4 linked regions of the Schizosaccharomyces pombe genome follow. The gene in region 3 interacts genetically with the main gene of each other region. Each region holds a gene or a part of one and is shown on either strand. Other genes may lie near its edges.

Region 1 (6,552 bases), 570 kb from region 3:
TTCAGGAGTACCAGCCATGGTTTTGCTGTCTTCCCATACCAACCAATACTACAAAATATAGAAATTGATATTTTTATTGTGCCTTGCAACTTAAGAAATTGCTAAAACCTTTAGGCAGAAGCTTTGTAAGCGGTGCTGTGCATTAAAACCGTATTTATTCGACAAATCCGAACATATTTATCTATATTGAAGAAGTCCAAAGAAAATCACATTTGTTAAGATTATTAGATACGACATAATTAAAAGCGTTTTTCAAAATGATTGTCCTTAATGCTCTGTCGTACTTGGGTATCGTTTTGGGATTCATAGGCATGACCGTGAGTATCGCATCAGCTTTGTATTACATTTCAGAGTTTGTAGAAGAGCACTCTAGGCTCGCAAAGGCGTTTTTATGTCGGTTGGTTTATTTTATTATGGCGGTAATGGTGTTTTTGGTTATATTTGATGGTTTTCCTTTTTGGCTCTCGGCATTCTCCATTTTCAGTCATTACATTTATAAAATCAACTTTGATACCTTTCCTTTCTTCTCATTTAAGAGAATGAGATTTTTGCTAGCATGTTTCCTTATTGTCGCGAATCATATCTTATGGGTCCGCTTTTTCCAGGTGCATGAATTCCCTATTAAACCTCGTGGACTCACTTACGATTTTGTTGGTCAACGCCTTTTGACCTCTCGTGCTTCCTTTTCACAAGTTGCTTCATTTATGGGGGTATGCGTATGGTCTGTTCCTATTGGTATTTTTGTTTCCTTTACCGCTGCTGACAATACACTTCCTACCATTACAACCCCGTCTTCCTCGTCCCCTGATGCTTATTCTTCTGGATCATCTCGTCGGACGTCGAATGTACTTCGACAAGCTTATAAAAAGTTAGGTATCTTCGTCGAACGTAGTCTTACCTCTTTGGGGTTGAGTGATCGTTCAAGTGAACGTTACGTCTGAGTTGAGTTTGAGGGATGCTTGTCTTTTTAAATTAAGGATTCGTTTAACTTTACTGTAATGTCTGTACTTCTTATGTGATCATTTACTCACAACATGTTGCATCTCTTTTTTTTTTCGACTTTTATTTTGTATATAGTTTTCTTCATACTTTCTTCATCAACACTTTAACTTTTTCTCGGTCAGTTTGAGCGAACAAAATTATCCTTCTTTTACGTTTTGTCGTTGTTCTTTAGGATTGCCTATTGTTATTTTTTTCAACATGGAAATTGTATTGTCAATTTGACTTAAATTTCATCTCGGACGTGTAGAAAATGCATTTAAAGGAAATAGATGACGCCTTTTCATATTCATATGAAACGGAGTTTTTTACGTCTTGTTCATAACGATTTTATCAATAAAAATTAACATGATAGAAAGCTAAATATATCCAAGTAAACCCTAGCCACTTGTAAAATTGATAAAATACACATTTAATTAATCAGTATCGACTATATAATACCGAGTCCTAAAAATACAGCAGACATCATCATAATGACCATAGCACTTAACGGAGAAAACGAATTTCCAGCATTTGCAACCGCATTCTGAGAAATCAAAGAGATGTTGAAGGACGGAATAGCTGAAGAGGGCATACTACTACTACTTGTATAGGAATAAACGACGCTTTCCGAAATATTCACAGCAGACAACGATGTGGATGTGAAGTGACTAGTCTGAACCAATTGAGTAGATGCCACACTCGTAGGATATTGCGAACAAGTTAGAGCACCAGGAATGTGTTGATCCACGATGGCGGACAAGTTGGATGTTGCGTTATAAAAGGCTTGCCCAATGGCAATCATTTTTTGACTTTGATGATAAAATGTGTAGGCGTTTCGAAAAAATAACAAACCTAATACAATCTCACTATCCGTCGAAGGTCGAATACCTAAAAGACATATGTTTGAAACTTGCCCAATCACTAGCAACGATATCGGTACCTTGATAGTTGAATTACATCCAAATTGAAATATCAGAGCGGCTTCCAAATCAATTTCATCACAGTTTAATGCGAAATAGCCTTCGGATAAGTAGGCACCAGCATTATCCATCACACTGTAAGCCAATTCGGCAGGCAAATAAATATAAGTTTCACGAGTTTGAAAGTATGCATCAGTGATGATAGAATAATTAGAAAAGAACGTAGAGTTTAAGAACTGCACAGAGTAAATGGAAACGGCGTAATGCGTAAGCTTAGTCTGCTTCAAAGCGACAAACTGTCCCTGGTACTTTGACGTATCCACGGCTCCCAAAAGTAAACTTCCATTACCCTGATTATCCAGATACATACTAAAAGCAGGGTATGCCAATATATCCTCTTTAACTAGTTGTTCCAAAAAGGTTGGTGGTGAAAAACTTGAAATGGAATCCGAATAATCTATTGAATTAATTTCGGTACTGGCAGCTAAACCTAGCACGCCTTTGTACGGCAGCATTGAACTGGGAACATACTCCTTTAATGTGATGCCGAATTGGAAGTCCGGTAAAGCTTGATAATGACTGTAAGAAAGGGAGTCCTGAACATTAATTCCAGCAACTGTAATGTTATCGTCATAGCGGATAAAAAAAGTGCTTGGACTCGTAACAAAATGGAAGCTAGAAGATGCATTCCCAAAATAACAAGAATCACTTTCTTTTTTACAAAGAAAGTATCGCAGTTCATCCGTACTCCACTGAGTACCACTATTCACTATGCCAAGATACGCTGGATTAAACGCCATTACATTGTAGTAAGTCAACCATGTGTACGGCATGTCCAAATCTATAGCTACAGTGTACGAAATACTCGGACGACCGATCGAAAGGGTAGTAGTGTAGTAAGTGTAACTCTGCAAATCTAAAGGAAATGAAGTGATACCAGATGGAGAATAAGTATAGTCACGCTTCTCTAATTGATTTTCCTGGTTGGGAAAAGTTTTCGCAACGAAGTCCAAAGCTAAAACACCATTTCCCGTATATTGTAACGAAGAGACAAGTTTAATGAAGGAGAAAAATATTAAAATCCAAATCCTCATAATCCTTAAATAATTAGAAGAAAATATAGATGCAAGAATGTTTACATAGAGGTAAATTAAAATGACCAAGGTGATTATCAGATAAAAAGAGAAATAAAGAATAAGAATAAAGTAATATGAGAAGAAGAAATAAGAATATGCAAAACGGAACTAAAACAAAAATGCAAAGTAGAATAAAGAGCAGGTGCCGAGTTCTTTTGATGAAAGAATGTTTTAACGAAAGCAACGATGAATTGTTATTATCCCTTGTTATGTTGGGAGCAACAATTTGGCAATCTTGCTTTATAAAGAAAAGAAAATCCACAACAGAAAGTGGAAATAATCCTCAAGGGATGAGCAATAGATGCATGTAAAAACCAAATGCAACGCAAAAATCTAGAAAAACTTGATCATAAATAAGAGTCTTTCACAATTCCTAGCACGTCGTAAAATAATAAATACAAATTGAAAATAAGGGAGAAATAGATCACTTAACGATAGTTTTTTTAGAATGATATGATAGTAGGTTTGGCATGTAGCTCAACTGAATGTATTTTTGAATAATTTAAGTTGAAAGGGAAACGTTTTTAAAGCTTTGAAATATGCCGATAACCTTTATGGTAACGTCTCAACTTTTAAATAGAACAAGCGATTTCTCCGAGCAACAAAAAGACGAAAATAAAAGACAGTCTTATTGCTGTACTTGTAGTTCAAAACTGTGTCCTAGTAGAGTGCTATTTCCTTGTTTTTCTACTTCACCTAATATGGTGGTTGATTGCGGGCTCAAATCCCTTGGGGGGCCTCAACACCATCAGACTAACTTCGTTCACATTAGGTCTGAAAGTATACAGGATCCTTGAGTTCTTTATATCATCATACAATAAATATAAAAGCAAAACTGTGTCTTTTCTAGAATACGATTTGTATGCTTTTTCCAGCGTAATTCCGCTTAAATTGGGATTATGAAACAGGTACGTTTTTACGAGTCTTACGGGCCTTAAAGTGATAATTTTATTGTACTTCGATAACTAATTAATATTTTTAATTAAAAAGAAGGAGACCAAAACCAGTCAAATTGCTTTAGTCGATGGTGAAAAATTATCGATAACAGATTCTTTTGCCTCCCTTTTTACTCTAGACGAAGAAGAAGAAAACGACTCTGTAGACAATGAAGAGATTAAGTTAACAAAAGAGAAACATGAAAAGTTACTTCTTTTATTTTGGTTGCATTGCAAGTTTCCTAATGGATTAGAATGGCTTCATTCATCAAGTGATCTTTTACCAGAGCAAGTTTCTGAGTGGTTTAACTTTTATCAAAAGTATCGTTTTAAAAGGTATGTCTCATTGAGTAACTTTTTGTATTTTCCTCAAATGTACAACTAACATGCAAGGGGGCGAAATTTTAATCTTTCAGCTAGAGAATCTGTAACTCCTATCGTTGAAGAACCGATAGTTCCCGAAGAACCCGATAATTTGGAAGGAGTTTCAGAGGAGACACCTTTAAAAGAAACTTCCCTAGAACTTAGCGAGGAGGAAATTATAACGTCAAAATCTCCCATACCTTCACCTGAAACTATACATAAAAATATTGACGTAGAAGAGAAAGAAACTATTGAACCAACAACACCCGTAAAAGAAGTGGAAACCACTGCTCATGCTGAAGAGGAAAAAGGCCCTTTGACGCCAGATAGCGAGTATGCTGCTCGACAGCTTACCGAAGAACTTGCAAACAAATCCTCTCAAGAAGAAGGAGTCGATAAGCAATTAAGAGTGGTTGAAGCTACCGAAAAGGAACATGAGGAAGATGGGAATGAAGAAAATGTGACCGTTACCAAACCGGTAGAGGTTGCGACTGATCAAGTTGAGTCTAAAGAAGTGAAAAAGAAAGAGGTATCAGAGACAACGGAACCTACGGCTCCCCCTGTCACTGTTGCAGAAGTTTTGGAAATTGAAGATAAAGTCCCAAAGGTTGATGAAGTTGAAGAAGTTCATTCTCCTGAAGCCAAGGTCACTGAAAATGATGTTGAGAATGTACAATCAGGTATTGATATTGAAAAAACTATACAATTATTAAATAATCAAGAGATTCCTTCGGAACAACAAATCATTTCCGTTGACAAGGCCACTGAATCTCCTGTTCAGGAAGTAGCGGTTGATGTCAACGAGAAGCCAGTAGATGAAATTGTTGAGCCTAGTAAATTACAAATGGAAAATAAGTTACCATCGGAAAAATCCCCTACAATTGACAGAACTGGGGTTGAAGCTCCGCTTTTTGAACTTTCTGTATCTATGCCACTAACTTTAATTCCTCCTTCAAAATTTTCTGAACCGGTGAAACCAGAGCTTTCCTCAGAAGCATGGCTGCTTCGAACAGAAATGTCGCCTTTACATTTAAGGTTGAAAAATGCACATAAATATGTTCTATCAGATAACTGGTCTCATGCGTATCGCGAGGAAATTGTACGACAATCACTACATCATTTAACGGTTGCAAAAGAAAAAGGTATTTGGTCCTTTAGACAGCCCAAAAGACAAAACGAGATGCCACGATTGAAAACTCATCGGGATTATGTTTTGGATGAGATGCAATGGATGTCAATTGATTTTTCTCAAGAGCGTAAATGGAAAATTATATTGGCTCATAGAATGGCGAATTGGGTAATGGATTACCATCAAGCTAGTGATAAATGTACTGTTTGTACTCCGGCTTCGTTGTCAAAGAATAAGAAGCCGTACATGCAAGAGAATGAACATCAGAAAGACTCTCACGAGGAAACGTTTAATGAACAAATAGTGAGCCATTTTAATCTAAATGATAATAATAACAACAAAGTGCTCTCTATTCCCAGGGATTCTTTACAGTTTTATAATGCTGTTTTTTCGGATGATATATTTGTGACAACAAACTCCGAACAAATTCAGAACTGCGTTTTAAACGTTCCTATGTACGGTCCTCCTACTGAAAACAATGAATATTGTGAAGAAATATCTGAAAAGTACCCGATCACTCCTGTGTCACGTTTTGCATATGCCAAAACAAAGCTTAAATCCACCTGTGCAAAGGCTTCTAGGAAACGTTTGTTCAACCAATTGGAATTATCACCACCTGAGTCGTTTATGGAAAAGAAGGCGAGAAGCGATGAGAACCAGCTAGATGGAAATAAAATTAAGGATGATAATCAGAAGCTATCCTCAGTAGGAACCTTTAGTGTGCGGCCTCCGTATCCGCCTTCTAGTAAAGATATTCGTCCAGAAGCCCCTTGGTTGCCCGAAGAAGATGAACTCCTTTTATTACTCTTGCGACGATATTCCTTTAATTGGGAATTTGTTGCCAGTAGGTTAACACCACCAGGTTTGTACATACCGCTTGCCGAGAAGCGGACTGCGTGGGATTGTTTTGAAAGATGGATTCAAGTGGATCCCAGAGCCGCCAATGTCCAATTGACTGGCTCCCATGCAAGACTCGCTCAGCAGAAATTAGATGAATCCTTAAGACATTCGGATAAAGTTAGCCAACATCTATCCTTACGGGATGAAGGAACACCTAACCATTTGATTAAACATAATTCTTACTTCTT
Region 2 (6,937 bases), on a different chromosome or scaffold from region 3:
TTTTTGGCAATTTATCTACATGTTCATAAGTATAAATGTTCAGTTTGTTTTGCAACCTTATTTATGTGAAGCTTTACTTGGGGTTTTCGTATTTTCTAAGTAGATGTATTTAGTCTTAGGTAACCGACGTAAAACTCGAAGAAAAAATAACCTCTTCTCGATTATTTGAACAAACAACTCGAGGACCTTTTGACTGAGTGTTTCGTCTGTAGCATTTAGCTATTCAAAGAATTTTTGACATACTGAACTATTAACAAATCGTAATCTCGCTTCTTTAAGCCATATACGTTACTAAATTTCTGGGTCATACAAATCTCGTGTTTTTATTTCGCATTCTCTAAATTCCGTAATTCGCCTAAATGTCAACAAACTAAAAGAGCTTTCACATATCAACAACTTACTGTTTTTAATAGCTTCCTGTTCTGATGCATCTAATTTCCACCAAACTATTTCCAATCCATAATAAGTTGCTAAGGCAAAAAGCGTCACTTTACCAAGAGGTCTAGCGTAGTTTTTATAAAACATAATCTTTATGATCGTTAATAAAATAATGTTAAATAAAACAATGCAAAAATGCTTGAATGAATTTTAGCACAGATAAAATTTATGACCTAAAGCGTATTTAGAAAAGCTTACATGAGGTGAGATTTCTTTTTGTTGACTATTAAATCTTTTCTGCTGAACTGGCACCTTTTTTACAGTCCATTTCGCAAAATTGATGGGCAATTTGCGTAACATTTTGAGACTATAGGTGATGGTTAATTATAACGTTCCCGCTGCACCATACACACTACAATCTATTTGAATGATGCATAATTTGGTTCATTTCTAATCAAGATCCAAGTTTCTACGAAAATTAGCAACTATTTTTCATATTCCTTAGGTTTTTGTGATTAGTTATTTGTTATTTTTTTTTGCCAGTCAATTTGAAACAAAGGAGAGATAAAATTTGTTTTGTATCGTATTATAAAGTGAACATATAAATACATTAAGATCCGTAGGAACACTAAGCTACCATAATTTTATCTTCGAATGCAATGATTTAAAATCTATTTAAGTAGAATTGACAAATATGAATGTGTTATGCAGCAGAACATGCTTCGACTCAAAAATTATAAAAAGAAAGATACAGTACCGTTTACAAATTAGGAGGTTAAAATCCAAGTGCTCGCATGATTGGTGTTCCAATTAATAGGAGAATCACGAAGGAAATTAGTGTGGCAGGAATACCAGCTTTTAAAAAGTCACTAACTTTCAAATATCTTTTGCCAGCTTCATTTTCCATCATGATAGCTGTCATATTAGGAAAACCACTGGTTGGCAAAGCCATAGCAAGACTACACATCATTCCCGAAGCCAAAACGAAAAGACGTGGATGAGGATCGGCAAGGCGACTTCCAACTTCATGGACAATGGGAAGTACCACCATTGCAGCTACTATATGAGAAATAAATGAAGAAACAACAAGAGTCAAAGCAGAAAAAATAAGCAGTACCCTAAATGTATTAAGGGAAGAAACAGCATTACCTATTTTAAGGGCAATAAGTTCTAAAAGGCCGGAAGAAGACACTACTTTTCCTAACGCAACACCTCCCATTGCCAAAACTATGACTGTCCACAAAAAATTATTAAAATCCTCCTTGGTTAACAAACCTGTTCCGAAGAATACAATGATTGGGACTAATGCAATAACACCCATATCACCAAACACCTCATCGAAGCGGCGTTCAAGGCACCAAAGGACTATAGTACCAATCGTAACAATGGAAATAAACCATTGGACACCAGTAAATGTATCCTTGGTGGAGCGAATTTTAGCTAAAGTGATGTGCTCATCTTTCAGTAATCCAAAAGACAACAGAAACCATATAGAAAATATACACAGTAACGATACAGGAATACTGACGGCAAACCATTCACCCCATCCCGCAGCGGGATCCATATTCTGTAGCGCAACAATATTTTGTGGGGATGAAATAGGCGAAGCAATACCTCCAACATTAGATGCCAAAGCAATACCCACAATTAGTATCTTTGCAAAATCGGACTCTGCTGGTAAATTTCTCAGAAGGGGCTGAATAATAGAAAAACACAACACTGGCGCAGCAACGTTGCTAATCCACATACTAGCAAACATGGCAACGAACATGTTTGTAAGAAGCACGCTTCTAGGCTTACGCCCTGCATGCGCTAAAATGGAAGTCGCCAACCTTTTAGCAATATGATATTTGCTTAGAGCAGCTGCAATGGTAAAACCTCCTAAAAGCAAAACTATAGTTGGATTCCACATCGAACTAAATATAACCTTTGTTGATTCCTTTCCAGAAAGAGGTGAACCGTTCTCATCTCTCAAAATTTTCAAAAACACAGTCATAAAAGGAACCAAAAACGAAGTAACGAACAAAGGAATAGCCTCCGTAGCCCATAATAAAGAAACCATTACTAACAAAGCCAAACAATTGTTCTGTTCCCTATTATCTATGACAGGAAAACTTAATAAGAGAATAAATATAACGATAATAGTAATTAAAGTTGCAATCGTGCTATTAAAGAAGCATCTTGGGATTCTAAAAACACCAAATTTAGTTTTGATTGTAAAATAGGGGGGCTGTTCTGATTCTTTCTCATCAGCTGCGACAGGCTTCAGTCCTGATAATCTCGCGGCCTGAGTACGACGCTCCATAGCCATCATTTCACGCCAAATAGTGTTCCTTTCCCATGCAACGTATTCACGAAGATGACCACGAAGGCGACGGATAGCCACAAATGTATCGCCTTGACAGCATAGCTTAGCATACCACTCTGCAACAATATTTAAACGCTTTGACAATGTTTTCCCAGTAGCAGGAAGGAAAGGGTAAGCTTGGTTGACGCGCTTCATGTACGATTCACGAAGGCTACTACCCAAAGTTTTATCATATTTTTTTAAGATTTTTGAAAAACCAGTATAATTAAGATGGACGTACGAAATCAAGTCATGAATTGAAACATACAACTGTGTCAGTTTTCGCTTTAAAGAAACGAAGTTTTCGTACGCAACAATATCAGATGGATATTGTTCAATAAGCAACCATCGATTGTTATTGTTGTTATCTTCGTCTTCATCTTCGTCCTCATCTTCATCATCATCATCATCATCTTCCTCCTCCACCTCATCATCATTGCCTTGTACCTCAGGTTGAGCTTCTGAATGTTGTTTTTTTGATAAACCGTTTTTAGAAGTATCGACATCATGAGGTTCAGACGGTTGAATAGCAGTAGATTCTGCTCTAGATATAGCAGGGGCCGCATAACCTCCATCACTAGTTTGCCCATTGAGATATATCTCACGGTTTGAAGAAGTAATGCGAGGCAATTCTTGGCTGCGGGCCATACGACCAGATTTCCTACTCGCTGAGCTCTTTTGTAATCGTTCAGGGGTAGGGTAATTAATGTTGTTTCCCTGACTCATATACTCATTCTCATAGGTTTCAAATTCGCCCTTAATTCTACCATACTGATCAGCAATTTCTTTTTCTTTAGGAGCATAAAATTCAACAATTCCTTGTAATTCCTTGTCTAAAGCAAACATAAAGCGATCATCGGGTGATCTTCTTTCGTGCTCTAACAGCCTAGTTTCTTCATCTGGAGCGCCTTGTTGTAATGTTATCTGTTCATGTTCCAATGAATAAATACTTAAAAATATATGTTAGCAAAATTCAAGTACAATTTTATTCTCCGGCTGTTAATCAGACATTATCCCAAATTTCGCAAGTATGAATTTGTCGGAATATAGGATATATCATAATAGCCAGTCGTAAGCTCGAGAATTTTCAAACATACAGCTTCTTAAGGTTCGAGTAACTAAGCACCGATTGTTAGCAAAAATCGGAAGTAATCCAACAGGTTGTTTACTTACGCAATGTAGCTTTCGGACCATTCCGGTACTGCATTAAATTGAAGACTAAAAAGTAATTAGAACAAGTCTTGTGAAAACTGATGCAACAAACCTATGACTGAATTTCATCTTGGATGACAGAGGTCATTTAACTTCAATTGTGACTAAAAACAGCTTTAGCTTATTCACGCAAATTAATTTGGAACAATCTAAAGGAGCGTTAGCCGTTCAAATTTCGTGGCCTATGATCGGAGGTGAAGCTGTATTCGTGGATCCAACCTCCGATAGAAATAGCGTAATATAACAACGTGTGTTAAATAATATAGCAAAGTGCAATGCTTTTTTACTTAGTAAATTATTTGGGATCCTATTGTATTTTAATTTAACAAACAAGCAATTTGCAGGGAAAAAGGATTTTTGGCATTCTATCAATTTAAATACATACATAGCATTGGTTACTTCTTGGGATTTCAAAGGGTTTTAGTAATAGACTTTATAATTTTAAAACACAATGGCGGAAGTGAAAAAATCAATTCCAAAACGTCGTTTTGTTGGCAAAAAAAATAGGAAGGAAAATAATTTGGATGGTTCTAATAGAGATGTTGAAAATGCTGCTCTCGTCACTATTAACTCCAAGAGGAGCGCTGGACGAGTAGCTACTCAAATCCCAGAGGATATATTAAACGATAAAGCAATTAATGAAGCTATAAAATTGGTAAGCTGCTTTTATTAGAGAAAGATGCCGTAAATTAGTTTCTTCTTTTCTCAAAAACATCAAAGCTTGGTCAGCTAACCTTTAATAGTTACCGCAAAATTACAATTTTGAAATTCACAAAACCATTTGGCATATTCGCTTACGAAAAGCAAAACGTGTTGCCTTGCAACTTCCCGAGGGGCTATTGATGTTTGGTTGTATATTGTCTGATATTTTTGAACAATTTTGCCAGGTCGAGACAATTGTGATGGGCGACGTTACATACGGTGCGTGTTGTATTGACGATTTTACAGCTAGGGCACTCGATTGCGATTTTTTAGTACACTATGGTCATTCTTGTCTTATACCTGTTGATCAAACGCCCATAAAGGTGCTATATGTTTTCGTGGATATAAAGATAGATTTGCAACATGTCGTATCATCTTTAAAACATAATCTACCCTCCAATTCTAGGTTAGCTTTGGTTGGAACTATCCAATTTGTTGGATCTCTCAACTCTATAAAAGACGCTTTGCAAATACAGGATGAAGACGGAAAGGGAGGTTTTTACGTTGTTATTCCACAAGCAAAGCCATTATCTCCTGGAGAGGCGTTGGGATGTACATCTCCCTATATTGAAAAAGGATCTGTAGATGCATTAATTTACATTGGTGACGGAAGATTCCATTTGGAATCTGTCATGATTGCTAATCCTGATTTGCCCGCATACCGCTATGATCCTTACTCACATAAGCTCTCTATTGAATCTTATGCTCATGAAGAAATGAAATCTATTCGGTATTCCGCCGTTGAGAAAGCTCGTACCGCTAAAAAGTTCGGTCTAATTCAAGGTACACTGGGTCGACAGGGGTCTCCTAAGGTACTCGAAAATTTAAAGAATACTTTAAGGAAAAATAATAAAGATTTCGTTTGCGTTTTAATGTCAGAAATTTTTCCTAGTAGATTGGGTCAATTCTCTGATATTGACGCGTGGATTCAGGTCGCTTGTCCAAGGCTTTCCATAGATTGGGGCTATGCATTTCCCGCTCCATTGTTGACACCATATGAAGCATCTGCTGCTTTTAATGTTGTTCCTTGGAAGGAAGTTTATCCTATGGACTTTTACGCTACCAATTCATTAGGTAATTGGACTCCAAATAATCCCGAAAATCGACCTCTGCCAAATCGCAAAAAAACCGGACCCGTTTCTTCTTAACGCTACTTGCCATTAATGGCACTAATACTTGTTATTTTTTAACCCTTATATTGTTCTTTATAGGTTTATTAAAATACCAATAGAATTCTCATCTGATAAATACAATATGTATTACATAAACTACTGCTTTAATATATTTATATTTAAACTATGCACCGGCAGGCGCGTCCCTCATTTTAAGGAAATTTATAAGTAACCAGCCCTACATGTTGTAAAGTAACGATTGAATGTGTCCAGCATACCCCCCTGTTCCATGGCGGTTATAAAATCAACACAAGCAATGCGAAATTTTTTTCTTGTTATGTTGTTCTAACTTTTTTTATGTGAGTAGTTCTAGTAGCTGCAGATAGGTTCAGGATGCTTAGCCAAGTAAGCCAATAGGAATGTTCTTGATCGTTATCACTCCGTCACCGTCCGATTCAGCTTAAACACTCCCATAACCCATTCTCAAAGTGAATCCCTTTTTCTCCCTTCTAATAGTGTTGTTATATATACTTATATATAATAAAAAGGTAGGTTAATAGCATCATATTACAAGTTAACACATTTTGATGAGAGAATTTCATGCTATGATACCGGAGCGGATATGTCTGCGCAAAAATCACTCCACTTGATTTGCATATATATCGATGATGGCAGAAGTGTTATTAACTCTTTTTAGATTCTAAAAGTTCCAATTGAAGCCAGAAGTGAACTAACTAATAGTTCATGCGTTTGATGCTTTAAGGAACTCAGTTTTCAGGGTTTAATTTATAAATATAAAAGAAAAAGGAATAAAGTAGAGCTGCTAACCCAACTCGGTTTTCCCTTTTATTTGATTTGAACAAATTTTTTTCTTCCAAAATTAATTTTGGCACCAATTAGTTAACTTTTTTCTGAACATTTTGCAAAAAAAAGCGAAAAAATGGATGGAATGCACATGAATTCCACGGGAGATAATCCCATCGAAATTGATTTCGAAAATTATGCAAATCACATGAACAAATTTCTTATGGCTCATATCATTTGCATGATAATTGCTTATGTATTTATCCTTCCTGCTGGAATTGTACTCGCTATGGCGAAAAGTAAAGCACATATACCCGTACAAATTGTATATGTTATTTTGACCCTTATTGGGTATATTTTTGCTCATATAAGTCATCACAAA
Region 3 (5,772 bases):
TATCTCACCAATTTGAGGATCGTTTACATAAGCCCACCGACTTCTATAAGTCAACAATCGTCTCAAAAACTCTTCTCTGCTCCAGGGCTTATATGTGCATTTAGAAGCTTTTAGAGACTTTAAAAGAATATCTTCATTTCTTTCGTCAATTTTGTCTAACTGATCCAAAATTTCATTTGTCTCCATATCGGTAGGAAATGACATTATCACCCGTTCTAAGAGTTAAAAAATTATATTTCTTTTCGAAAAATGTGGTGTCTCAAATATTATCATAGAAAACTTTTATTACATGCCTTTTCCAAACGTTTTCAGCAGGAATCAAGGTAGCGCAAGTCAAAGTACTTAGGAAGGATCTCAAAATACCAATTTGGATCATGAGCTCAATATTCGTTTCATCAAAATTGTTAAAAAGTTTTACCGTTTTAAGAAAACATGTCCATGTTATTAGCCAAACCACACTTGAAGGCATAAATTCCTTGAAATTGATCAACACCACCGTATAGTAAATTTACGAGAATACTAAAAGTAAAATAGTAAGGTAATATGGAAAATAACTATACAATTAACCTATTCATACTGACCTGTGTAACTATACCTGAACAATTAAACATTGCTACTATATAATCCATAATTTAAGGTAAATAAAATATGTCATCCATAAAGACATATAACATGTTGTTAATTGTTTTGATCTAATTAAAAGGAGCTAATCATAAGCTTATGGCAAGTAAATATTTTCAAGATTACATTTTTTGTAGAATCCTCGATAACGCATATGCTAACATGCTGAAAAATCTAAATAAAGCCCTAAAGCTAGAATATTTCGGACAGATTATTGGGCGACCTTTTGAAAGTGAGGGTCTTTAGATGTTACAGCTGCAGTAGCTTCAATTACCTTTTCAAAAATACCTTTGTAGGCGGCTATAACACCGTTATTGTTCTTAAGAGTTCTTCCTACACCAAAGTCCAAAGGTTTGCCAAACATATCAGAAACAACACCACCAGCCTCTTCAACAAGAAGAGAACCACCAGCATGATCCCAAATTTTTTCTTCAAATGTCATTTTGGTTGGTAAACGAAGGTAGATGTCACCATCACCACGAGCAAGACTAGCGTATTTGGCTTGAGAATCCATCTTGGTAGGTCCACGAGTAATCCCTAAGTACTTTGCAATTTCTTCTTGAGTTCCTTGCATTGAATGACCAGCCTCTACTCCTTCGCAAAATTTTGAATCCTTGGTGTTTTGAACATCTTGCATGTGCACTTGAACTGGTTCTAATTTTTCGTTATGGAGAGAATACTGGAAGCAACCATGGTTACGAACAGCGGACATTATGATACCTTTGGGACTTGTCTCGGGCTGATTAAAGTCATATGGAAGATTAGGGCATCCAATGGCACTTACCACAGGTTTTCCATTCTCAATCAAAGCTAAACAAATAGCATACTGGGCACCACGTAGAAATCCTTTAGTTCCATCAATGGGATCCAAAGTCCACATACGACCATTGCGACCACCGTGATATGATCCTTGGTCAATAATGCTCATCATTTCTTCAGCTGACTTGATTTGACCAAGCTCTTTGTATTCAGTAGCATGTTGGATAGTTTCTTGAACTAATTCCCAAACACGAGAGCAGGTTTGGGTGTTTTCTCTCAAAAAGTCGGAATCCTCTTCGCCAACAATTGGATCATTGGGAAATGCATCTTTTAACATAGAGATTACGATAGCTTGAGCACCAAAATCGCCAATAGTCACAGGTGATTTATCATCTTTAGTAAGTGCCCCAGCAGCACTCTTCTCCTTGATAAGTTGATTAAACACTTTTTCGGTCAAATAGCTAGCTCTGCGCACAGCAGCAATAGCTAATTGTTTTTCGGCATCAAAGCTCATGGTAAATAATTTTCTAATGTTATTTATTAATGGAGGTATGATTTTAGCACCAAATTTCCTGTTAACACGGAGTTTGGAAATTTTTGTAAACCTGGGCAGTGGAAGTGCGAAGAATATGAAATCAGCATATACGGTGTTTAATTGACGTTTCCACATTTAACCAAAAATATTGTTCAAATAGAAGAAAGAACTAAAAAATTGTTATGAAACGAGAAAGAGTTTCATTTTTTCTGACTAAAAGACCTTTTTTTTTTGTAAAATCGCAGGTTATGCTAACTTTTATTAAACAATAATGATTATGTAGTTTCTATTGTGAAAAGAGCATGTTAATATTTTAAAACAGGTTTCTCCATGTCCACATTTTAGGTTTTCATTAATTATACAAACGACACTACTAAAGTCTGGGTATTGGCAAAGCAGTTCGCCAACCCTTCCAACCTATGGAGAAAGGATGAAATATAATATTAAGGAAAAAAAATATCATTCTGATGGAAAAAACGCATAATTTAAAAGCAGTGCAAGTCCGTATCTTGCGTTTCCCTTTAACAGGCAAATATGCCTAAAATTTTTATATAAGTGTAGATACCAAGGATGAAATGAAGGCATAAAAATATTTTAAAGGGATTGATTAGTAAAAGAAGAAACTGCTCATAAAATTTCCTTTCTCTCAAAATACTGTTGTTTGAAGAGACTTGAGAAATTAATGAACAATCAGATATTCCTCAATACAGATTGAAGAAATAGTTTCCTTATGGCAAATTACAATCATATGTAATATATTGTGATAACAAGACTTACATTCCATAAAGTCTAGTCGTTTTCAGGTCAACTCATAAATGTAAACAAAAGTAATACACCGTGACGGAACGTACTGCGTTATCAGATAAATGAGGTTCAGTCTAACGCGTCTTCTCATATTCAAACATAAACAAACATGAACATTTTCCCAATTGTTAAGTACTCTGTAGCTGAGGATTCGTATACTACAGATTCCTCCCATATCAACTGGTCACATTATTCAGATGGAGGTTTTACACTCTCATTAACGTCTGGATTGCTTCAAATTCGTCAACACGAAGAATTAATTGTACGCGACATGAAACCATATTGCTAGAAAAATTCAATATTTTTAACAAACAAACAGCAAAGTATAAACTTGTTAGATCTCTGGCACCAATTGATACCGGGAACGAAGGAAAAATGTCTAACTCTGCTTTCACGCGCTCCGTGTATGAATATTCGTGCTTTCACTAATAATGTAAGTAAAACAAAAGCAGATTTATTCAAAATCACATTGAGGCCTCTTTTTTTAAAAAAAAAAATGGAGTGTTGATGAAGCGTATTTTGTTGTTAATAAATTTAGGTGATGAAAAGATTTCAAGTGAAATTCCCATCTGACGTGCATTATATGAAAGCCAAAGTTGAATTTGAGAAGCTAGGCCTGGTGTTCAAAGATGCAAAGTCTTCCTCTGAGAAGAAGCAATTCAATAACTCCCAAAGTCAATCTAATAACTCACAGGAACTTTCGTTGATGAACAATGCATATAACAAGTCATCGGCGCAACAGCCAAATCTTTTATTACAACCGAGTTATATCCCCATGACCCAAACAGCAACAACTGCTGTGAACAATAGCACAAACTATGTCAATCCAGCACCACTGCAGCATGTCATGCCAAATGCTGAAATCTTCTCCAATACACCACCGCTTAAGCGATTCCGCGGGGATGCGGGCATGACCCAAATGCCCCTTCGAAGTGATACATCAATTGAAAGTATTACTGCGTCACAACAACCCACTTGGGATGAAAACGTGGTGATAACTTCATCACCTTTTAATCCCAATCGTAATGCCTACTCTTACGGTGCAAACTCACAATACCCCATTATTGCTGCTACGCCGCTGAACTCTCAGACACAGGCTTCGTGGGTTGCTCAACCGGAGAACCAAGCATACGCAAATTTGATTCCATCACCCCCAACGACTTCACAAATCCTACCAACAGAACTTACTGAAGAGGAAAAGCAATTACGCTCCAAGGTATTATTCTATCTAAAACAAGACAGCTTCATCCAATTATGTCAAAGTTTGGAACGGGTATGGAACAAGATGTAGGAAGACAGACCAATTCAACTTAATCCCAAATTTAAAAAAGTAGTAAAAATGGAACGAAATCAGGATCGGAATGGTTATTTCGACAAAATTGATGTGTGACCACAATTTGGCAACCAAATGAGAAACTTCATTAAGTTCACATTCTTCGAGTACCGTGATAAAACATTTGTTGCAAATTTTGACATTATTTAACGAAAAGTTGGTCGAGATCTCAACTGCATATGATCGTTGCTGAGGATTAGCAAACAGAAACCGCCAACACAACAATGTTGAAATAAATTTCTCTACTTGTTGCATGACTCTTTTCCCTTAGGCTTGTCCATGCAGAGCATTAAAATCAAATTGAGAAGATCCCGTTCCGATCCTTGGGGTGTAAGCCTCCACCACGACACATAATCGGTATCAAAAGACAACTCTGAAAACTTTTTGATGGGGGAATTGCCGCAAGTACAGCATGAATACTAGTGTTAATAATGGGTCAGGTTACAACGGTTAAAATTGAGTTGGTGGTTGGTTTTGATAATTGACTTAACAATCCACGAGAGGAGTTCATGACATTAAGTACGAAAATGGTCAAATAGTTAGTTTAACTTCAAAAATAGACGAACCAAGTGGAGAAAGTAAATGTTCCGAGCACCAAAAAAAAAACATGATATTTTTTAAAGGGATGAAACAGCTAGAACGTTATGAGTGTAAAAAGGATTTTTTTTTTTTTTTTGGGTACTTCCGAGAGAGACAACAGTCTACAAAGCTTCACAATGATTTCAATGTCCGTGAAGTAAACCTTAAAATGTCGAATCGACTTTGAAGGGTTGCATGCGAATTATCAAATAATGTTTAAAAGTGTTGTCAATGGAAAATGAATCCCGTTTCCCATTTCACTTAATCTAGCTTATCTGCCTAATCGGCACTTAAGGTAGATGGAAACCAGAGAATATTCTTTTTTCCTCAAAACAAAAACGCCCCCGCTAGTAAACCTAAAGACAATACCGACTAACGATATTGTGATTTTCACTTGGTGGAATTGGCGGAAATGTTTTCAAAGATATGAAGGCATAACCGGATCAAACGGTTTCGACAATGCTAATAGAATTCTCTTCACGTGGACGAACCGGTTTCCAAGGAGAATAAAGACATAATAATAAAATTTAACACTCCTTGTTTTATTTCGACAATATTTATTGGTCTGGTCCGAATTGTTCATTTTGGTAACTACAACATTACTCCCTATTTTTAAGCACGTTTTCATTACCCCTAATTGAAACTTGATTCTATCAACTTTCAATTTACCGGGGCTCGTTTTATTATTCTATTCTCACCATCATTCGATTTTCGCTTCATTTCTGTTGAGGGACTGCTTCCTAGATTGGTGTTTAACGCTTATCGCAACGCATGGAGTTGCATTTCATCCATTTTCTTTTGAAAATAAAGTGTGACCTCTTCTTGTGCCTAATATTGACTTGACTTTAAACACTGTAAAAATAAACGCTGTTTTTTAAAACCATCAATAACTTTAAATCATCGGTTCCTTTTTTTCTTTTATAACGAGGACTTTCTCATTAACGCACTCTGAAATGATTCTTTTCACCCTGATTTTTTTTATGCGATTGTATTTGCTCCTCACGATATACTATACTAATCACTATCGTACTTAAAAAATAGGCCGATCGTCCGAACCTCGTTTGTCTGTGCAAAAACAACTCTCGTCATTCTTACACAAAAATTTCGTTTACAGCGATACTACAAATTTTTTTCATAAGTT
Region 4 (5,105 bases), on a different chromosome or scaffold from region 3:
TGAAGGGTACCCAAAAGTTAAAATTGAAAAATCACTTCCTTACAAATACGATAATTGTAAACTGTCTATTTGTGTTCCAATAGTTACGACCTGTATCCCTTATCATTCGGTTGAAAATCTTAATTTCAACATTAGGCAAAATATATCCACCACTTTAAATTTGGAGAAGACAAATGATTCCATTAAAGAAACCAAGAATGAGAATTTTCGTATGGACGTACTAGAAACTTACAAATGCAAGCAGTTGAATCATCAAACGACGCATCTACCTACAAATACTGTATTAAAAAAGCGTTCTTTATTTAATGATGCCATTTCCATCGTTCCTAATAAGAAGAAGCAACTTGTATCAGCCATTAGTACTAATTCAGATTCTCAAGGAGCGTCTTCCAATATCATTCCTACTCCTAAATATGACTCCAACTCACCAGCTGGGCATGAACTGAGAAAACGAATGACACATTTGTTATATGAGTCTTACAAGGATTTAGGCTATTCCAATGCAGAAAGTAGTATGCTTGCTCTTCTCGATGAAAAAAATATTTGTGAAACTGCAAACAGTAAAATGATATACAGTTCCTCCTGCAAGTCTAAAATTTTATCTCTTAAGAAAGCTCCGAAGAAAAATGAAATACAAGGATCAACTCCTGATGAGAAACTTGAGTCACTTGTTCATTCGGAAGAAGAATTGATTCTATGGGGATATAATATTGGAGACGTTGCACCAGTAAACCCGCCAGATGAACTTCGTGAATGCGATCGATGTGGTACACGGTTTGCGGATCCTCGAGGACCATGTACATATCATTGGGGAAAACTGTTTCGTGAAAAGCAAGGGGGGGAGAAGATTCGTACATACACTTGCTGTGGTGTAAAAGAGGGCGATTCGTCTGGTTGTATTATAGAAGACAACCATGTGTTCAAATACCGACATCTTCCGTATCTTGCTAGCGTTCATCCATTTTCCTACTTACCAGACAGTACAAATAGCAAGCAATTAAGTCATTGCGCGTTAGATTGTGAACTATGCTACACTACGAACGGGATGGAATTGGCTCGTTTGACGGTGGTAGCAAAGGAAAGCATTATTATGGATGTGTTTATAAAGCCTAAAGGCAAAATTTTGAGTCTCAATACTCGATTTAGCGGGATACATGATGCCAAAGAATTAGAATCAGGAATTACCATGGATCAAATGTATATTAAAATAAAGGAACTTGGCATGAATAAAAATACAATTTTAATAGGACATGGTTTAGAAAACGATTTGAATGCGATGAGGCTTATTCACAAACGTGTCATAGATACTGCTCTTCTATTTACGCATGCCAGAGGCCCGCCGTTTAGATATTCCTTAAAATATTTGACTAAAAAATATCTGGGAACAACAATACAAACTTCTACACACGATAGCGAAGAAGACGCTGTTTCAGCATTACAACTTGTCTTTTATAAGACAAAATCAAATGAAAGTCAAAACTAAGAGTAATAATGTTTTCAAATTCAAGAGATAGATCATATCACAAAGTAATTTTGTTGGATATATAGATTTCTGATACTAAGCATAATGAGAGGAGAGAGATAGTAATTGTAAACCCAATAAGGAAAGGGTAGGGAAGAATTTTGTAAATCCTTCTACCAAAATGAATACTTCATTCTCATCATTATTCCTCCACCAACTAAACCACATATTAGTAAAATGACAATTATTGACACAATTTAGAAGTATAGAAAAATGCTGCAAACCATAGCTGCTTATCGATTCTTCAGTCATTAACTTACGTGTCTTCCATGTTTGGAATTGAGGAATTCATTACGCTCCTTCCCCCAACAGTAAATATAGTAAGCTATTCCAAACGGAATTGCTACGTATAGACCTTCAGTCATGACGCGACGAAACATATTTTGCGTAGAAGTTTTGAAGAAGCCGGCCATTGGTCTCTGTTGAAATGGGGAAAGGGAATATGTTATGATTCCTTTTTGTTTAGGTCCACCTCTTATTAAAGTAAGTAAAAATGTATCAAATTGTTATAGCACTTACAGATGGCCCCACCATCCTCTATTCATGTGTTAGTATAAATAAAAACGTTCAATGATATTCTCAGCAGCTATTTGAATGTATATAACTTCGCTGACGAAAATGGCTTTACGAAATAAACACCAATTGTGTCCACCGTCTCACGCTATAAGCGTCAAAGAAAAGTCATATAACCCATTATAAACAGAAACTGCTTTAAGTTGCACTTACAAATAAGTTTTTCCTCCAGCAGCACCACCCATTTTGTTAAAACAATAATATATTGATGATTGCCGTTACAAAGTCAGATGTTTGTTAAGGGTAAGTGTGCGGGTCTGCTAGACCAATAATAATTCAGACGTTTACAAATTCTTGGTTTTTTATTCAAGATTTTTATTTAGTTTTACTATTAAAATTCTAAATAATAAGATCATGTATTTATTAATCATGAATATAGATTTTCCTAGAGGTTGCAGTTAAGTCATACTTAGTCTTGCTCAAACGGACTTCCCTTTCAGTTTGGTCTTTTAGTCCAGCGCTCAACGTACTATTAAAGAGATGGCTGTAGTACTGGAGAGAGTTGCACGTTATGCAATACCAATAGGTATTGGATTTACTCTATTACAATCTTCGATTTACGATGTACCGGGGGGAAAAAGAGCAGTTTTGTTTGACCGTCTGTCGGGTGTGCAGAAACAGGTTGTTCAGGAGGGCACACACTTTTTGATTCCATGGTTACAAAAGGCAATTGTTTATGATGTACGCACACGTCCACGAAATATCGCAACTACTACGGGTAGTAAAGATTTACAGATGGTTTCTTTAACATTGCGTGTATTACACCGTCCCGAAGTTGGAATGCTTCCTCAAATTTACCAAAATTTAGGCTTAGATTATGATGAGCGTGTCTTACCTTCTATTGGAAACGAAATTTTAAAATCCGTAGTTGCTCAGTTTGATGCAGCAGAGCTCATTACTCAAAGAGAAGTAGTTTCTGCCAAAATTCGCCAAGAACTAGTTCAACGAGCTACCGAATTTGGAATTCGGTTGGAAGATGTATCCATTACTCATATGACTTTTGGAAAAGAATTTACGAAAGCCGTAGAGAGAAAACAAATTGCTCAACAAGAAGCCGAGCGTGCTAGATTTTTAGTAGAACAATCCGAACAAGAGCGACAAGCTAATGTTATTCGCGCTGAGGGTGAAGCAGAAGCGGCTGATATTGTTTCCAAAGCACTTGATAAAGCCGGTGGCGCTTTAATCCAAATTCGTCGTCTCGAGACAAGTAAAGAGGTGGCTACTGCACTTGCTAATAAAGGTGCACAGGTCACTTATCTTCCCTTTGGAGCTGGTTCTAATGCCCAAAGTTCCAGTGGTTCTGGGTTGCTTCTTAATGTAAATCCTTAATTCATTCCATGTATCTGCTTCTAGCAGCAAATTCATAAGGTTTATTCGAGCTCCCCTAAACATATCAGCTTTATCTTATTATCCCTTTAAAATTAAAGAGATGTTATATAAAAGTTGTACTTTTCCACGCATTATGATTTTGACAAATTTGGGTTCTTAACGAAAATAAATATTTCCAAATTTTTTTATTTCAGAACTCAAAATTATGATTTGTCACCTTATTTTTAAAACGACAATTATTTTGGGTTTTGTGCTGATGAAATGGCTATATTAATGCTGCTAAAATTAGGGTTGATTGTTTATGTAGAGTTTTTTTAGCATAATGAAATAAACAAATATGCTGTACTGTTGGTAATTTTATTGACTTTAGATATTACTTTTAAAGTAAACAGACAAATATGGGTATCGCATAAATTCGTGAAGATTCGTTAAAAACGCCTTTTTTCCCTCGAGAATTTTTAATCAAACGGAATCCTACTTCCATTATTTTTGGCAGCAGAGATCGCACTTGGTATCTTGATGCCACAACAGTCAGCATAATGAGAATGAACATGTGTCACCTCAGAATCATCACCGTCTTGGGGAGCAGGAGACATCCCAGGTGAAGCTGGGATTAAATGGCCAAAAAGATAGTGCTGCATTATAGGAAGTTTACCCAAAACTTCTGCTCTATACATTTTTATCATGCCTTCGTTGACTTTAGACCAAGTCTTTACGGCAGAAATATCGTCAATCATTGGAGAATGGAAACGTAGTGAAACAGAAGGCTTCAACTTATTTAAAAAGTAAACATAACCTAAGTACATATAATCAGCGCGACACATCTCCAAAATTTCTGGATCTCTAACATGTTTGGGACGCAAATATTTATGATTAACCAACTGAGCTGCACCAAACAAAAAAGGGAGGAAATGAAAATCATCTAATCCCCATACACCATGAGATCCTGCTGGTTCGAGAGTATAAAAAATTTGCAAAGACCTCATCAATTCAACATACTTAACAAAAACTCGAACGACCAATGCTGGATAATCATTTTTAGTAAAAATGCCTAGTTGCTTTAAAATTAGTAACCATGACATAAAGTAAAGTTCATGACCACTTCCATAATCTATTCGCTTTCTGTTTCCAAAGCTTTCATAAAAATATCGACCTGCCTCCATCGCCGCATTATGCTCAATTCCAAATACTTGGTGCAACTTTGGTGTTTCAATGTATACCTGATCGTAAAATGATTGAAATGCAGGATTGCCAAACCTCGACCCCATATTATCAATTGCAGGATTTTCCTGTTTAATTTCTCCAACTCGATCTAGTATATTTAATACATGCTCTATTGATGAGCTTTGCGGAATTGAAGCTGAAATAGGCTTGTCTTTCACAGCTTCGTCAAGATCACAAATAAACGAATCAATTAACTTATAAGCATCTCCTTCTTTAAATAATTTTAAGTCTTCATTGTCTAAAATTCGTCGGACAGGAACGAAACACCGGTTTTGCTCTTCTCTAGAAAGCATGTTGGCATAACTTGATCGGTTAAGACAAGATTAACAAAAGCCTTAAAAATTATACAGTTGGACGCTCTTCAATATTCCTTATGTTGTTATTTGTTATGTCAGTCGTCAGTACGTTACATTTCATTATTGTAATTAGCTATAATCAGTGAGAACATTTTTTAAAG

Evidence for each region.
Region 1: mutations in tol1 (region 3) and yps1 together harm fitness more than expected from each alone (negative genetic interaction), as found in Schizosaccharomyces pombe (one large-scale study listed by BioGRID).
Region 2: mutations in tol1 (region 3) and plt1 together harm fitness more than expected from each alone (negative genetic interaction), as found in Schizosaccharomyces pombe (one large-scale study listed by BioGRID).
Region 4: mutations in tol1 (region 3) and qcr8 together harm fitness less than expected from each alone (positive genetic interaction), as found in Schizosaccharomyces pombe (one large-scale study listed by BioGRID).

Annotation. Positions count from the first base shown.
Region 1 is NC_003421.2:977,184-983,735, forward strand, and holds yps1 (yapsin Yps1), read right to left. Parts: upstream 3,752-6,552; 5' UTR 2,996-3,751; coding exon 1,430-2,995; 3' UTR 1,044-1,429; downstream 1-1,043. Other genes in the region: protein SVP26, read left to right, coding at 258-941; vid21 (NuA4 histone acetyltransferase complex scaffold subunit Vid21/Eaf1), read left to right, coding at 3,937-3,945, 4,028-4,308, 4,366-6,552. UniProt on the Schizosaccharomyces pombe protein: Cleaves at paired basic residues.
Region 2 is NC_003423.3:3,384,769-3,391,705, reverse strand, and holds plt1 (phosphate transporter), read right to left. Parts: upstream 4,089-6,937; 5' UTR 4,007-4,088; coding exon 3,990-4,006; exon of another isoform or gene 3,944-3,989; coding exon 3,899-3,943; exon of another isoform or gene 3,844-3,898; coding exon 3,823-3,843; exon of another isoform or gene 3,675-3,822; coding exon 1,154-3,674; downstream 1-1,153. Other genes in the region: mitochondrial F1-FO ATP synthase peripheral stalk assembly factor Ina17, read right to left, coding at 324-355, 402-528, 637-738; diphthamide biosynthesis protein Dph1, read left to right, coding at 4,389-4,592, 4,681-5,787; SPOM_SPBC3B8.06 (uncharacterized protein), read left to right, coding at 6,692-6,937.
Region 3 is NC_003421.2:1,546,126-1,551,897, reverse strand, and holds tol1 (3'(2'),5'-bisphosphate nucleotidase/inositol-1,4-bisphosphate 1-phosphatase), read right to left. Parts: upstream 1,995-5,772; 5' UTR 1,895-1,994; coding exon 833-1,894; 3' UTR 501-832; downstream 1-500. Other genes in the region: zinc finger C3HC-type containing RNA export factor Rsm1, read right to left, coding at 1-204; meiotic recombination protein Rec7, read left to right, coding at 2,829-2,981, 3,039-3,152, 3,258-4,010. UniProt on the Schizosaccharomyces pombe protein: Phosphatase that converts adenosine 3'-phosphate 5'-phosphosulfate (PAPS) to adenosine 5'-phosphosulfate (APS) and 3'(2')-phosphoadenosine 5'-phosphate (PAP) to AMP. May regulate the flux of sulfur in the sulfur-activation pathway by converting PAPS to APS.
Region 4 is NC_003424.3:4,764,285-4,769,389, reverse strand, and holds qcr8 (ubiquinol-cytochrome-c reductase complex subunit 7), read right to left. Parts: upstream 2,335-5,105; 5' UTR 2,281-2,334; coding exon 2,249-2,280; intron 2,060-2,248; coding exon 2,042-2,059; intron 1,997-2,041; coding exon 1,783-1,996; intron 1,680-1,782; coding exon 1,665-1,679; 3' UTR 1,484-1,664; downstream 1-1,483. Other genes in the region: exonuclease Rex3, read left to right, coding at 1-1,483; prohibitin Phb1, read left to right, coding at 2,576-3,424; ypa2 (serine/threonine-protein phosphatase 2A activator 2), read right to left, coding at 3,883-4,941.